2 linked regions of the Stegostoma tigrinum genome follow. The protein of the gene in region 2 purifies or fractionates together with the protein of the main gene of each other region. This does not show direct contact. Links are inferred from orthologs where the notes say so. Each region holds a gene or a part of one and is shown on either strand. Other genes may lie near its edges.

The links.
Region 1: the proteins of nepro (region 2) and rpp25l purify together in Homo sapiens (affinity purification with mass spectrometry; 3 studies listed by BioGRID and IntAct, with this or other methods). This does not show direct contact. The link is inferred for Stegostoma tigrinum from reciprocal best matches to the Homo sapiens genes RMP64 and RPP25L.

The regions. Positions count from the first base shown.
Region 1 is NC_081354.1:146,847,166-146,855,060, forward strand, and holds the start of rpp25l (ribonuclease P protein subunit p25-like protein), read right to left. Parts: upstream 3,096-7,895; 5' UTR 2,941-3,095; intron 336-2,940; 5' UTR 293-335; coding exon 1-292. Other genes in the region: dctn3 (dynactin subunit 3), read left to right, coding at 3,124-3,207. UniProt on the Homo sapiens protein: May be a component of ribonuclease P or MRP.
Region 2 is NC_081359.1:2,544,219-2,552,149, forward strand, and holds the start of nepro (nucleolus and neural progenitor protein), read right to left. Parts: upstream 3,077-7,931; 5' UTR 2,936-3,076; coding exon 2,839-2,935; intron 2,822-2,838; exon of another isoform or gene 2,589-2,821; intron 1-2,588. UniProt on the Homo sapiens protein: May play a role in cortex development as part of the Notch signaling pathway. Downstream of Notch may repress the expression of proneural genes and inhibit neuronal differentiation thereby maintaining neural progenitors.

The sequences.
Region 1 (7,895 bases), on a different chromosome or scaffold from region 2:
GTTCCCAGAGTTCTTCAAACTGTTTATAAAACAACTTGGTAATTTGATGGAGACCTTTTAATCTTCTCTTCATGATCTCCACACACGTGATTGCTTTGCTGACAGCTTTCCCAGTGCCGGTAAAAAGGATCTCTCTGATATTGGCTGATTCCATCTTTCCAATGGCGTATCCCATGAGATTTCGGATTTTGCTACCTTCCTTCACCTTCATTTCAATAATATCTTTTGGAAGATTGGCAATTGGCTGTGGACAAGGGAGTTCTGTGATCTTTGTTTTTTGGTAATTTTCCATTTTGAGAAATGTCTTATAATTCTGAAGTGATGGAAATCAGAACCTGTAAATATAAATATATAAATATCAATTACTTACAGCTGGAAAACTAAGAATCTAGAATGTCTACTTTGTCTGCCATTCTAATTTATTGCAAACTTAAAAATGCACTATACGTTTACCTTCCTGAAAATGCTGACTCATCCAAGTATAACAACCCGAATTGTTCTTTTAGATGACATTACACATGATAATAAGTTACTTGACAATGGAAGCATTTGACATCCAAATATGCCCATGAGTGCTGAATTTAGGAGAATACCAAGTGTGATTTCTGCTACTTTGAAGATTGAAGACAACAAAAGTACCTTGCTATGGCAGCAACTGAGGTAAACCAGCAGAACACGACAGCAGATTGAATTGATTCTTCACAAGCTATTGTTCAATCGCAATTGAGTGGTGCATGTATTCTTTACATTAAAAAACATTTCAGAGTGAAATTCCATTTGTGGTACTACATTAGCAGCAAGTGCTTTGTGCATATTTTTAATTGCTCACATCACATCCTTCTCACCCAATCTTCATTTTAAACATGTGAATTTCATTTGAAACATTTCTATTTTCTAACATCTTTGGAGCCAGTCATTTTCGTATATGCCCCAGAATCTCTGAATTTTAGATTCTATTTGATAGAAGCTAAGCATGAATTGTTCCCTAATCTACTGCTTTAGAGGCACGATGTCACACCATTCTCAGATGTCTCTAAACTCCAGAAAAGTACAGAGCTTTTCTCAAAATATCTAATTTCACATGATGTTTATGATCCATATTCAGATAACTAATAGCCAATGCACTGTCAAGTAATCAGCTGGAAGTGCAACTTGATAGCATATAATAGCAAATAATCCACAGGAGTCAAGATGGAAACATTTTCTGCAAAAACCAAATACCATCAAGAAACTGCACTTTATGCAAGTAATTTAATCAACAAAACAGAGTGAATGGAGAATAATTATATCCAAACACGAGTAAATGATTAAATCCCATGCGCTCGCAATTTCATTCTCCAAGCACGGCTAACAAAGAAATTATTCAATTATTTTCATTCTAGCTAGGAATAACTAACCTTCTCTGCTACAGTGGCATGTGGTCTTTTACCGTGATCAGAGCAGTCAGAGCCTTAATTTAACATCCTTATTTGAAAGATAACATTACTGACTAGAGTTGTGAGCGCATGGAATAGTTTACCAGTGGTAGTCGTGGAAGCGGACTCATTAGTGACATTTAAGCGACTGCTGGACATGCACATGGACAGCAGTGAATTGAGGGGAATTTAGGTTAGGTTATTTTATTTTTGGATTAGGATTATTCCACGGCACAACATCGTGGGCTCAAGGGCCTGAACTGTGCTGTACTTTTCTATGTTCTATGTTCTGTGACTCCCTCAGTACTTTTCAAGAGTATCACCCTAGATATTTTGTTGAATTCAGTCCTGCAGGACTGCTATTCACCATCATTCAGACTCTGAGCTTTAGTCAAGATTGGCACTTAAATAAAAGGCACATACAATGGCTACCTGCAATTTAAAATAAGAATTTAAAACATTAGGTATATTCAGCAGGTCAGACAGTAACCCTGTTTCTCCAGAGACAATGCTTTCAGATAAATGGCCTCTTATCAAAACTGTCAAAAGTTAGAGATGTCACAATTTTCAAGCAAGTTTAGAGAAGTCAAAGGTTGCGAGAAAAAATGTGCACATGTGAGACTATGGATGAAAGAGAGATTAGAGGATCAATGAAGGTGCAAGGCAAAATAGAGTTGTATGGATCAGATGTAAATCTGTGTGCATAAGTCACAAAGTCTCACTTCAACTGTCCAGATCACACCTGGAGTAGTGGGTGCAGTTTTGGCCTCTATCACAGAAAAGATATTATTGCTACAGAGAGACTGTAATGAAAAGTCACCAGAATTTTCTCAGGATGGCAGAACTGGCCTATGAACAGAGATTGAGCAAAGTGGACCTGTACTTTCTACAGTATTGAAGAATGAATACAAATTTCATTGAAACCTACAAAATATTTAAAGCAATAGTTAAGATAAATGAAAGTGAAACATTTCCCTTAGGTGGGGAATCTAAAGGAGGAAAATTTGAGAATGAGGGGCTTTAAAAGTCTGCCCATCTGGCATGGGAGGGCAGGATCTCTGGGCCGAATAGCCTAGCCCTGTTCCTCTGCTCTTGAAATGGGATCAAAGGTTATGATCTGAAATTGATACAGTTGGAAGGCTGCTCCTCTCTACCTTAATACCTGAAGGAGGAGCAAGGCTTCAAAAGCTTGTGTTCTCAAATAAACCTATTGGACTATAGTCTGGTGATAATGGGAACTGCAGATGCTGGAGAATCCAAGATAATAAAATGTGAGGCTGGATGAACACAGCAGGCCAAGCAGCATCTCAGGAGTACTATTGTCTGGTGTCGTGTGACTTCTGACCTTATCCAACACCGGCACCGCCACTACCACATCATTTCTTCCCCTTAATCATTCAGACTTCGCTATTTGACGTTATTTGCTACTCTCTTTTTCTGTCGCTGCTCCCAAAGCTCTGATATTTCTAACCCATCCCGCTTCTCAACAAACAGTAATTCTGTTTCTCTTTCCGAAAAGGCTGACCTGCCGAGTTTTTTTCAGTTTCGTTACCACGGCACCGTCTATTCAGCAGCTCCTGGTAGTTACCCCGCAACTTCCCAACCCGAGTCCTATCCGCACCGGGATCCCAAGCCCAGGCCTCGCACCTGGTCCTGGGCCCGGGCCCTCTGACGTAATTTCCGCCGTTGGGCGGAAGTGGCGCTGACAATGGCGGAGCTGAAGAGGCTGCAGGACCGTTTGGAGAAACTCGAGACTCGGCTGTACGGAGAGAGAGGGCGGCAGGCCGGACAGGTACTGTACCTACATGTGATAGTAATAAAACAAATCAGGTACTGCCAGTGGGAGAGAGGCCGGGACAGGTGCTGCCCGGCTGGAGCGGAGTGGAATGGGCAGGGCAGATAGAGACAGGTCGGATAGGTGTTCTTTGGGGAGGGAGTGGTGTTGGTGACAGCGAGCGGAAAAATACGACTGGGCAGGTGGGTGAAGGGTGGAGGGAGTGGATGGAATTGGGGGAAGAGATGATGGAGAAGGGATATCGGACCGGAGAGAGAGGGGCTGGGACTTGGTGATGGGAATGGAGACCAGAGTGGTAGGGTTTGAATTACGTTCCCGATCCACCCTTTCAGGTCTCTTCAGAATCTTGTATGTTACATCGAATCATCTCTCATTTGTCTGTTTTTACAAAGAAGAGTGATCCAGTGTACTTAGCTTTTTATCACAGGAATGGATCTGTTGAACCAAGTATGCTGTTTCCAATGAAATTCTGTCCTTAACTGTTCAGTCTAAAGCTATACACACAGTCTTAAAGATGTCGTCCCACTGTTTAAGCAAGGCTTCTTTATTTCTGCAGCTATGTTTTCTGCTGCCAAGGATCATGTGCATTAGCAATAATATCTGTCATAGATAAAAGAATAGTTAAAAATACAAAATAATGAGAGTTTTAATGAGAACATATCAAGTCACATACTCCAAAAGTAGAACTTTTTTTGTACTTGGCAGTAATATCACAGTGCCACATGCATGTTGGGGAATCTTTGTTGTCAGTGAACAGATCCTGTTGTTCGTTGCTTACTGCGCTGGCAAGTTTGTTTGCAAGCATTTTCTCACCATACTAGGTAACATCATGAATGTTTCACCAGTGAAGCGTTGGTGTTCTGTCCTGCTTGATACTTATGTGTCTCGGTTAGCTGGAGTAGGTGGCATCACTTCTAGATTTGTTTATTAGTGGGTGGTGTATGGGGTCCAGCTCCACATGTTTGTTAACAAAGTTCTGGTTTGAGTGCCACACTTCCAGGAGTTCTTATGTGTATCTTTGTTTGGCTAGTCCTATGATGGCTACGTTGTCCCTGTTGAATTGGTGTCCCTCTTTGTCTGTGTATTGAAATGAATGATAGTACCAAGCAAAGACACGCACGAGAATTCCTGGAAGCCGGGCCTGCAAACCGGAACTCCATTAACGAACATGTAGAGCTGGACCCCATATACCAAACAATAAGAAACCAATCCAGAGGTGACACTAGATGTTACCTAGAATGGTGATTAAATGTTTGTGAACAAACATACCAGCTCAGCAAGCAAGCCAGCAACCTGAGCTACAAATCTTCTCAAAAACTTTGAACAGACCGTATTTCTGCACTCTGATCGTATTAAAGTACAGGCTATTCTTGTCTTCTTATTTGTTTACTCCACATGAATATTTGTGCATTTAGCAAGTCTTTCTGAACATCTACATTTATAAGTTTCACACCTTTTAAATTTTTTTTGTTCTTAATGCCAAACTGAATACTAACCTTGCATTTCCCAGCATGTCACTCCACTTGCCCCATTGTTGCCCACTCACTTAAACTGTCCATAATTTCTTGCAGCCTCATTGTGTCCTCCTCACTTTACAGCTGACATTCCCAACCATCTTTGTGTCATCTACTAGTTTAGATTTGTTTCTCTTAGTTGCTTTATCTAAGTCATTAAAATACATCGTAAATACCTGTGGTCCTAAACTGATCCTTGCAGCCTACTGTGACATAGTATAGCTGTCATCAGGATCCTGTAAATTCTCCCACCAATGTTTCCCTGATTATTCCTGATCTTCAACTCATAGTGTTTTGGCTTCCTGATCTTCTGGGCCATGATCCTTTCTCAATACTATTCTTCTCTCGTTCTTTCAGTATATTAAAATTTATTTCCCATCCTTGATCACTTTGTAGATATATCCCTGCAATTTCAATTGTCATTTATCTCTCTGGTTTGTTCCTTATTTAATGCATTCAGATAATGAGCAGTTTAATGTTACTTCTCCTGCCCTCCTCTTAGTTTATCAGGTCAGAGATCCCATCCTAATTCACGTGAAGCCCATCTACAGCTCCCTCTATATTGCTGTCAAGAATCAACACCCTTCCTAACACCACTCTTTGAGTCGTGACATTGATTTTTGAATTTGCTGTACCTTATGCCAGTAGCTGTGTGGTTCAGTAACCTAATCAGACGTTATTGCTTTATTTTTATTCATATGCTCAAGGGATGTCGACACATATTGTCCTTCCCTAATTGCCTGGATAGGCATAGCAATTACAAGTCAACTGCATTGCTGTGAGCCTGGAGTCACATAGGCCAGGAAAGGACAGCAGTTTACATCCTAAAAGACAATGAGATGTGTTTTTAAGACAAATTATTTTATGGTCATCTTGAGACTTTTAATTTGGTTTTAAAAATTAAACTCAAAATCTACCATCTGCCATTGTGGGATTCAAACTCGTACTCAGAACACTAGATTTGTGTTGAGAACACTCTTCATTCTTCTAAATTCCGATGAATACAATCCCAGTCCACTTGGGCTGTGCTCATAAACCAAAGCTCTGAAATCCAGAATCAACCTAGTGAATCTCCTCTGAACCTCCTCCAATACCACTACATCCTTTCTCAAGTCCTTTCTGAAGTTGTGGATTATCAGTCCACTATTGTCTATTGATGAAAAACTTGTTCACCCAGAGAGTGGTGGATATATGGAATGCTCTGCCCCAGAAGGCAGTGGAGGCCAACTCTCTGGATGCTTTCAAGAAAGAGATAGACAGAGCTCTTAAAGATAGTGGAATCAAGGGTTATGGGGATAAGGCAGGAACAGGATACTGATTGTGGATGATCAGCCATGATCATAATGAATAGTGATGCTGGCTCGAAGGGCCGAATGGCCTACTCCAGCACCTATTATCTATTGTCTATTGTGACCACTATGTCACCATCATCTTAATTTGGACCTTGGGATCTGCTGAGTTTGAGGAAATACATCATTGGTTCTCTCTCCAGTATGACTCAACACCTGGTGGAAACGCAACCTTCAGAATGCCCAGTTGCACTTAGAGGGGACAGAACTTTTGGTTCATTCAAAAATTTTCAATAAATTTAAAATATTGTCAGTTTTAAAAACAGACTGAAGTGAAAGGTTTATTTGTTTTAAACAGTCAATGGATACATAAAAATTACTGAGTAACATTTATACAGACTGATTTTTGAAAGCCAAATTCCAGTTGCCTGCTTGTTTACTGACTTGTCTTACATTTGATAATTCTGAAAAGACTTTGCTTCTCTTGTTTTGGATTATTTGCAGGCTCTAGTGGCCAACATTAGGTATTGCAAGTTTACAAGATGTATTTATGTTGATATTTTCAGCGCTTGGGAATGGACTACTATCATGGACTACAATATTCGTCCTCAAGTAGTTCACTCCAGATGAGAAAAGTAAAAGCACTTAAGAAAAAAAAAATGCCATCTGTGAATCACCTACTCGGGTTAATTGGTGCCTTTACTATGTGACAATTTGAATTTCACATAAGGACCAGAAGGAGGAGCAGTTCATCCCCTCTGACCATTGCCCTTACTGTTCAAAAAATTATCATCTTAGCTTGAAAAAGATTCAATGAGGAAGCCTCAACTACATCACTGGGCTAGGAATTCCACAGATTCACAATCCTTTGAGTAAAGAAGTTCCTCCTCAATTCAATTCAAAGTCTGCTCCCCCTAATTTTGAGGCTATGCCCTTTTGTTCTAGTTTCACCTGCCAATGGAAACATTCTCCCTGCTCTGTCTTAGCTATTCATCTCATAAAATTATGTATTTCTGTAAGATCCCTCTTCATTCTTCTAAATTCCGATGAATACAATCCCAGTCCACTTGAGCTGTGCTCATAAACCAAAGCTCTGAAATCCAGAATCAACCTAGTGAATCTCCTCTGTACCTCCTCCAATACCACTACATCCTTTCTCAAGTAAGGAGACCAAAACTGCATGCAGTACTCCAGTTATGGCCCTACCAGCACCCCATCCAGCTGTGACATAATCTCCCTGTTTTTAAACTCAATCCCTCTAGCATCAAAGGACAAAATTCCATTTGTCTTCTTAATTACCTGTTGCACCTACAAGCTAACCTTGTGTGATTCATGCACAAGGGTTCCCAGGTACCTCTGCGCAACAACATGCTGTGGACTAACTCCAATGTCAGGATATCTTCCTTTTGATTAGGGCCCCAAAACTGTTCACAGTATCCCAGATTTCATCTAACTAGTACTTTGTATAGTTTAAGCATAATTTTCCTACTTTAAACTCTATTCACTTTGAATAAAGGCCACCATTCCATTTGCCATCCCTGTTACCTGCTAAACTCTGATGCTCGCTTTTTATGATTCATGAATGAGCACACACAAATCATTCTGTAGCTTTCTGCAGTCTTCCTGTTTAAATAACATTGAGCTTTACTGTTCAACTAAGGTGCATAACATGTCATTTTCCCCACAATAAGTTCCATCTGCCAAGTTTTTGCCTACTTATTTAACTGCCCAACAACCCTCTGCAGACTCTTTGTCAAACTAATCACTTGCATTCCCACCTGTTTTTCTGTCATCTGCAAACTTACCTACAGTACATTCACTTTCATCATCTAAGTCATTAATATGTATTCTTAATAATTGTGGTACTAGCACTGATACCAGT
Region 2 (7,931 bases):
GTTCTGTGTAGCTGCAGTATAACTTTGGCATCCTTATATTCCAGTCCTCTAGATATAAAGGCCAGTGTTCCATTAGCTTTCTTATTATTTATTATAACTGTTTGTGGTGTTTTAAAGGCCTATGCGCTTGAATCTTCAATTGTCTGTGGGCATCCACTGTATTTAACTTCATACCATCTAGATCTGCCATCTGGATCCTAGTCCAGAAATACCTGGAATTCAAATGTCTCCTCCATGGCCTTGGCCCTCTTTACCTCTAATCTGTTCCAGCATCACAACACACTAACAACCCTACATTTCTCCAACCCTGACTTAACACGCACAAAGATTTTAATTCCTTCACCACTTATGGTCATGTTTCTGCCTCTGTGTGCTCATTAAAATCATTTTTTGGTGATCTGATCTAATATTTCTTTTTGGATACCATGTTAAATTGTATCTTATTGTTATTTGCTTAGCACCTTGGGGTCTTGTACCATGTTAAAAGGTGCTATAAAAATATAAGTTGTCATTCTTGAACTGAAAGATAAATATTGCCCAGGACATATGATGCTTTCCAGACTTCCTCTGAAAATAATGTCATCATTTGGAGAAGATTTGTAGCTCAGGTTGAGGTTCTGGATGTGAGTTTGCTCGCTGAGCTGGAAGGTTCGTTTTCAGACGTTTCGTCACTAATCTAGGTAACATCATCAGTGAGCCTCCGACTAAGCGCTGGTGTTATGTCCCGCTTTCTATTTATCTGGTTAAGGAAACCTAACCAGATAAATAGAAAGCGGGACATAACACCAGCGCTTCGTCGGAGGCTCACTGATGATGTTACCTAGAATGGTGACGAAACGTCTGAAAACTAACCTTCCAGCTCAGCGAGCAAACTCACATCCATAACGTCATCATGTTTAAGCCAACATATTCAGTATTTCATTTGAAGCACAGGCCTTGTTTGTGTTCAAAATCTTGAACCACAGGCATTCCTCAGAGAGGACTGTGGTAGCAATTCAGCCAACATATCTGAGACAAACACAAATGACAGTAGGAAAAACAGTAATATAAAATACACATGCTGACATCAAATTAAAAACAAGAAATCCTGCAAATACTCAGACCAGATAGCATCTATAGAAAACTTACAGATGTTGCCTGACCAACTACCACCATACCTTAGAATAAAATTCGGTAAAGGGAAATTAGTTGAAATGAAAGATAATAAAATGTGAGGCTGGATGAACACAGCAAGCCCAGCAGCATCTCAGGAGCACAAAAGCTGACGTTTTGGGCCTAGACCCTTCACCCTCTGATGAAGGGTCTAGGCCCAAAACGTCAGCTTTTGTGCTCCTGAGATGCTGCTGGGCCTGCTGTGTTCATCCAGCCTCACATTTTATCTTGGATTCTCCAGCATCTGCAGTTCCCATTATCACGCATAGTTGAAATGAAAGTTGTTTACTAGAGAGATGAGGAAGAAATAAACAAAACTTCAAATTTTAAAAATGTCTAAAGCAGTTTACAATCTGTATGAAAGTAATTCCAATTTCAAATGCTCCCTTCCTAGACCAGAGACATTACGTCCTTGTGCAGGTCACAAAAAAGGTACTTGATTATCAGTCCTAATTTGTAACAGCAAGTTGAAATAGGAATCAACATGAAATCCAGTAACTTCATAAAACCTACAGGGAGGTTAAAAATTAGATGCCAATTTCAGTTTGAATTGTGGGGAAATTTAAATAAGTTATCCAGTTATTTGTAGTGAATTGTAATGGCATCTATGTTAAACATAAGACTCATACAGCTGTACAGCATGGAAACAGACCCTTCAATCCAACTCACCCGCGCCAAAAAAAATCCTAAAATAATCCAGTACCGTTTGTCAGGATTTTGCCCATATCCCTCTAAACCCTTCCAATTCATATACCCATTCAGATGCCTTTTAAATATTAATTGTACCAGCCTCCAACACTTCCTCTGGCAGCTCATTCCACACACACCACCCTCTGCGTGAAAAAGTTACCCCTTAGGTCCCTTTTAAGTCTCTTCCCTGTCATCTCAAGTCGGTGCCCCCTAGTTTTGGTCTCCCCTACCCTGGGGAAAAGACCTGTCTATTTACCCTATCCGTGCCCCTCATGGTTTTATAAACCTCTGTAAGGTCACTCCTTCAGCCTCCAATGATCCAGGGTAAACAGCCCCCAGCCCACTTCTCCCAGTAGCTCAAACCCTCCAACCCTGATAGTTTCACAACATCCTTCGTACAGCAGGGAGACCAGAACTGAACGCATGCTACAACAGTGCCAGCAAATTCCCACACCCCACAAAAATTCTTCTAGCTCACTATGCAGGGCAGAAGACAATGTTGTCACCATCAAACATCATTTAATAACTATTTCTCTCTCCATAAGCGATCGCAGATTTGCCGAACATTTCCAGCGTTCTTTTCCATAAAGCTGCGCACGTGTATGTAAAACACAATGATTAAACCAAAACTGGAGCCATTGAGGGAGGCTGGGAAAGAAACGGTGACAGCAGAATATATTACATACTGAAAGAAAATGAATTAATAAAACGAGCGAGAGTCAAACTTCGGGGTTTCGAAGAAACACCTGGACTCTAAACGTTAACGGTTTTCCTCTCTCTACCGAGCTTTTGCAGCACTTTCTGCTTTTTGAGTAACGTAGCTGGCACACGCGGGGAACTAAGACGGTTCCAACTTTCCTCATTGCAGTAAACCGATCATAGCTTTCCGAGTTAATGTGAAATACTTGGGCCTAGCAGTATGAGTGAGCGAGAAAGACAGACACAGTGTATGTGACCGTTAGCAGTGTGAGCGGGAAGCTCGTGCCGCTGCGGTACCTGTGTGTGGCCAACGGCACGCAGGCGGCGCGGCCACGCTACAGCACGAGCCCGGCCGTGGAATGTGCACGGCGTTCCAACCGTCAGGCGCCGCCATCTTCCAGAACAGCAAGGTTCCTCCTCCTCCAGCAGCGAGCGGACAGCCTCCCAGAGGGCGGGATCGCAGGCCCAACTCTCAACACTGCATCAAGAACAGGTACGGCACCACAACCCAATCTGACCTCACATGGAACAGTCCCTCTTCCGCATCTACACAGGCCCCAAACCCCACCTCTTCCTCCGGTACATTGATGACTGTATCGGCGCCGCCTCTTGCTCCCCAGAGGAGCTCGAACAGTTCATCCACTTCACCAACACCTTCCACCCCAACCTTCAGTTCACCTGGCCCATCTCCAGCACATCCCTCACCTTCCTGGACCTCTCAGTCTCCATCTCAGGCAACCAGCTTGTAACTGATGTCCATTTCAAGCCCACCGACTCCCACAGCTACCTAGAATACACCTCCTCCCACCCACCCTCCTGCAAAAATTCCATCCCCTATTCCCAATTCCTCCGCCTCCGCCGCTTCTGCTCCCACGATGAGGCATTCCACTCCCACACGTCCCAGATGTCCAAGTTCTTTAAGGACCGCAACTTTCCCTCCACAGTGATCGAGAACGCCCTCGACCACGTCTCCCGCATTTCCCGCAACACATCCCTCACACCCCACACCCGCCCTACGAGGATCCCCCTCGTCCTCACGTACCACCCCACCAATCTCCGGATACAACGCATCATCGTCCGACACTTCCGCCATCTACAATCCGACCCCACCACCCAAGACATTTTTCCATCGCCACCCTTGTCTGCTTTCCGGAGAGACCACTCTCTCCGTGACTCCCTTGTTCGCTCCACACTGCCCTCCAACCCCACCACACCCAGCACCTTCCCCTGCAACCGCAGGAAATGCTACACTTGCCCCCACACCTCCTCCCTCACCCCTATCCCAGGCCCCAAGATGACTTTCCATATTAAGCAGAGGTTCACCTGCACATCTGCCAATGTGGTATACTGCATCCACTGTACCCAGTGTGGCCTCCTCTACATTGGGGAAACCAAGCGGAGGCTTGGCGACCGCTTTGCAGAACACCTCCGCTCAGTTCGCAATAAACAACTGCGCCTCCCAGTCGCAAACCATTTCTACTCCCCCTCCCATTCTTTAGATGACATGTCCATCATGGGCCTCCTGCAGTGCCACAGTGATGCCACCCGAAGGTTGCAGGAACAGCAACGCATATTCCACTTGGGAACCCTGCGGCCCAATGGTATCAATGTGGACTCCACCAGCTTCAAAATCTCCCCTTCCCCCACCGCATCCCAAAACCAGCCCAGTTCGTCCCCTCCACCCACTGCATCCCAAAACCAGTCCAATCTGTTTCTGCCTACCTAACCTGTTCTTCCTCTCACCCATCCCTTCCTCCCACCCCAAGCCGCACCTCCTTGACCTGTCAGTCTTCCCTGGACTGACCTATCCCCCCCCCCCCCCCCCCCCCCCCACCTATACTCTCCTCTCCACCTATCTTCTTTTCACTCCATCTTCGGTCCGCCTCCCCCTCTCTCCCTATTTATTCCAGAACCCTCACTCCATCCCCCTCTCTGATGAAGGGTCTAGGCCCGAAACATCAGCTTTTGTGCTCCTGTGTTCATCCAGCCTCACATTTTATTATCTTGGATTCTCCAGCATCTGCAGTTCCCATTATTACTGACCTCACATTGCATTGCATTGCCCTCTAACGCCCTGTGCACCTAGTGTTATAAAACATGGCGATTTGGCGGGGTGGGTAATAATGGGATTGGTGGGGGGTGGGCGTTTGATTTGGTGATGGGGAAAAAAAACTCATGTGGCACCTTATCCTCACCTTTGGTGTTTTGCATTGCTCAAAATGGGCTTTGTATGTAAATTAGTCAATTGTAAAACATGGGTGATTCACTCTGAGTGGTTAATAGATGCAAAACAAAGGGTGATATGGAAAAAAATGTTCAGTTGTATCAGAGATAATGGGAACTGCAGATGCTGGAGAATTCCAAGATAATAAAATGTGAGGCTGGATGAACACAGCAGGCCAAGCAGCATCTCAGGAGCACAAAAGCTGACGTTTCGGGCCTAGACCCTTCATCAGAGAGGGGGATGGGGAGACGGAACTGGAATAAATAGGGGGAGAGGGGGAGGCGGACCGAAGATGGAGAGGAGAGTATAGGTGGGGAGGTAGGGAGGGGTTAGGTCAGTCCAGGGAAGATGGACAGGTCAAGGAGGTGGGATGAGGTTAGTAGGTAGATGGGGGTGCGACTTGGGGTGGGAGGAAGGGATGGGTGAGAGGAAGAACCGGTTAGGGAGGCAGAGACAGGTTGGACTGGTTTTGGGATGCAGTGGGTGGAGGGGAAGAGCTGGGCTGGTTGTGTGGTGCAGTGGGGGGAGGGGACGAACTGGGCTGGTTTAGGGATGCAGTAGGGGAAGGGGAGATTTTGAAACTGGTGAAGTCCACATTGATACCATATGGCTGCAGGATTCCCAGGCGGAATATGAGTTGCTGTTCCTGCAACCTTCGGGTGGCATCATTGTGGCAGTGCAGGAGGCCCATGATGGACATGTCATCTAGAGAATGGGAGGGGGAGTGGAAATGGTTAGCGACTGGGAGGTGCAGTTGTTTGTTGCGAACTGAGCGGAGGTGTTCTGCAAAGCGGTCCCCAAGCCTCCGCTTGGTTTCCCCAATGTAGAGGAAGCCGCACCGGGTACAGTGGATGCAGTATACCACATTGGCAGATGTGCAGGTGAACCTCTGCTTAATGTGGAATGTCATCTTGGGGCCTGGGGTAGGGGTGAGGGAGGAGGTGTGGGGGCAAGTGTAGCATTTCCTGCGGTTGCAGGGGAAGGTGCCGGGTGTGGTGGGGTTGGAGGGCAGTGTGGAGTGAACAAGGGAGTCACGGAGAGAGTGGTCTCTCCGGAAAGCAGACAGGGGTGGGGATGGAAAAATGTCTTGGGTGGTGGGGTCGGATTGTAGATGGCGGAAGTGTCGGACGATGATGCGTTGTATCCGGAGGTTGGTAGGGTGGTGTGTGAGAACGAGGGGGATCCTCTTAGGGCGGTTGTGGCGGGGGCGGGGTGTGAGGGATGTGTTGCGGGAAATACGGGAGACGTGGTCAAGGGCATTCTCGATCACTGTGGGGGGAAAGTTGCGGTCCTTAAAGAACGTGGACATCTGGGACGTGCGGGAGTGGAATGTCTTATCGTGGGAGCAGATGCGGCGGAGGAATTGGGAATAGGGGATGGAATTTTTGCAGGAGGGTGGGTGGGAGGAGGTGTATTCTAGGTAGCTGTGGGAGTCGGTGGGCTTGAAATGGACATCAGTTACAAGCTGGTTGCCTGAGAAGGAGACTGAGAGGTCCAGGAAGGTGAGGGATGTGCTGGAGATGGCCCAGGTGAACTGAAGGTTGGGGTGTAAGGTGTTGGTGAAGTGGATGAACTGTTCGAGCTCCTCTGGGGAGCAAGAGGCGGCGCCGATACAGTCATCAATGTACCGGAGGAAGAGGTGGGGTTTGGGGCCTGTGTAGGTGCGGAAGAGGGACTGTTCCACGTAACCTACAAAGAGGCAGGCATAGTGGGGGCCCATGCGGGTGCCCATGGCCACCCCCTTAGTCTGTAGGAAGTGGGAGGAGTCAAAAGAGAAGTTGTTGAGTGTGAGGACGAGTTCAGCTAGGCGGATGAGAGTGTCGGTGGAGGGGGACTGGTCGGGCCTGTATCCCTGCTCCTCTAATGCTGCTTGGCCCTCTGTGTTCATCCAGCTCTACACCTTGTTATCTCTGTATCAGAGCTGATCTGGATAAATGAAACACTCAATCTGGCCCCCTAACCTTTAATAGGTTGTACTGTCCATAAGAGCTTTGCATGTAAATTAGTCAATTGTAAGACACAGGTAATTCACTCTTGGTTCATAGATGTAAACAAAAAGTAATGTGGAAAAACATCACTTAATTATGTATAACAGCCCTTTGGATATAAAAAAGAATCTAGGCCTGAAACATCAGCTTTCCTGCTCGGCCTGCTGTGTTCATCCAGCTTCACATTTTATTATCTTCACACCTTGTTATCAACTATTATCCCTCACCTTTAATGAGCTATAATGCCTTTAACTGGGCTGTGCACATGAATTATTCAATTGGAAAACATGAGTGATTTACTGGTGGCAGTTAATAAATGAAAAAATATCATGGGTGACTTGATGATAAGAAAAAAAAATCAGTTGTGCGTGAGATAGTAGGAACTGCTGGTGCTGGAGAATCTGAGATAACACTGAAGCTGGATGAACACAGCAGTCCAAGCAGCATCAGAGGAGCAGGAAAGCTTGACATTTCGGGTCACGACTCTTCAGAAAATTTTCTGAACACCGTGTTATCCCAGTTATGTGTGGGAGCTTTTCTGGATATTAGAAAAAAGACTTCATCTACGACTCTTGAATCTTCTGGTCCCTAGAAAAAAGATGGGTAGCATTCAGATGCAATTAAAAGAAGGCCTTGGGGGAAGGGTTCAACAATGCTGAAAGTGGCCAAATAAACTAACAAACTACTATCACAGAAACTGGTTAACACACAGCTCATCCAAAATGCAGCACCTTAACTTGGCAATAAAAACAATGCACTGCAAATGCTAGCAAGCAGAAACAAACACAGAAAATGCTGGAAAAATTGGTCTGGCAGTATTCCTGGAGAGAGAAACAGTTAACATTGAGTCTGAATGACTTTTCCTGGAACTTAACCTGGTAGCTCAGCCCTAGCTGCCTATCCTTATATTTCTTATTCAATGTACTTTGTATTTTTGGAATTCTGAGGACTCATGGTCTGGAAAGATTACTTTCTAATCCGATTTCTGGGTAAATCTACATCCATAACACCAATCTCTGTTGGCATCAGCACTTTGAGATATGTGAAAGTGAAGTGGAACATGGATTTAAACATGTATAGCCCACATACCTTAAGGTATGCGGTACCTAAACGTCTATAAAAACAAGACTTAATGAATTAAATGGTTTCAAAAGAGCAAAATTGTGCATAGTACATGA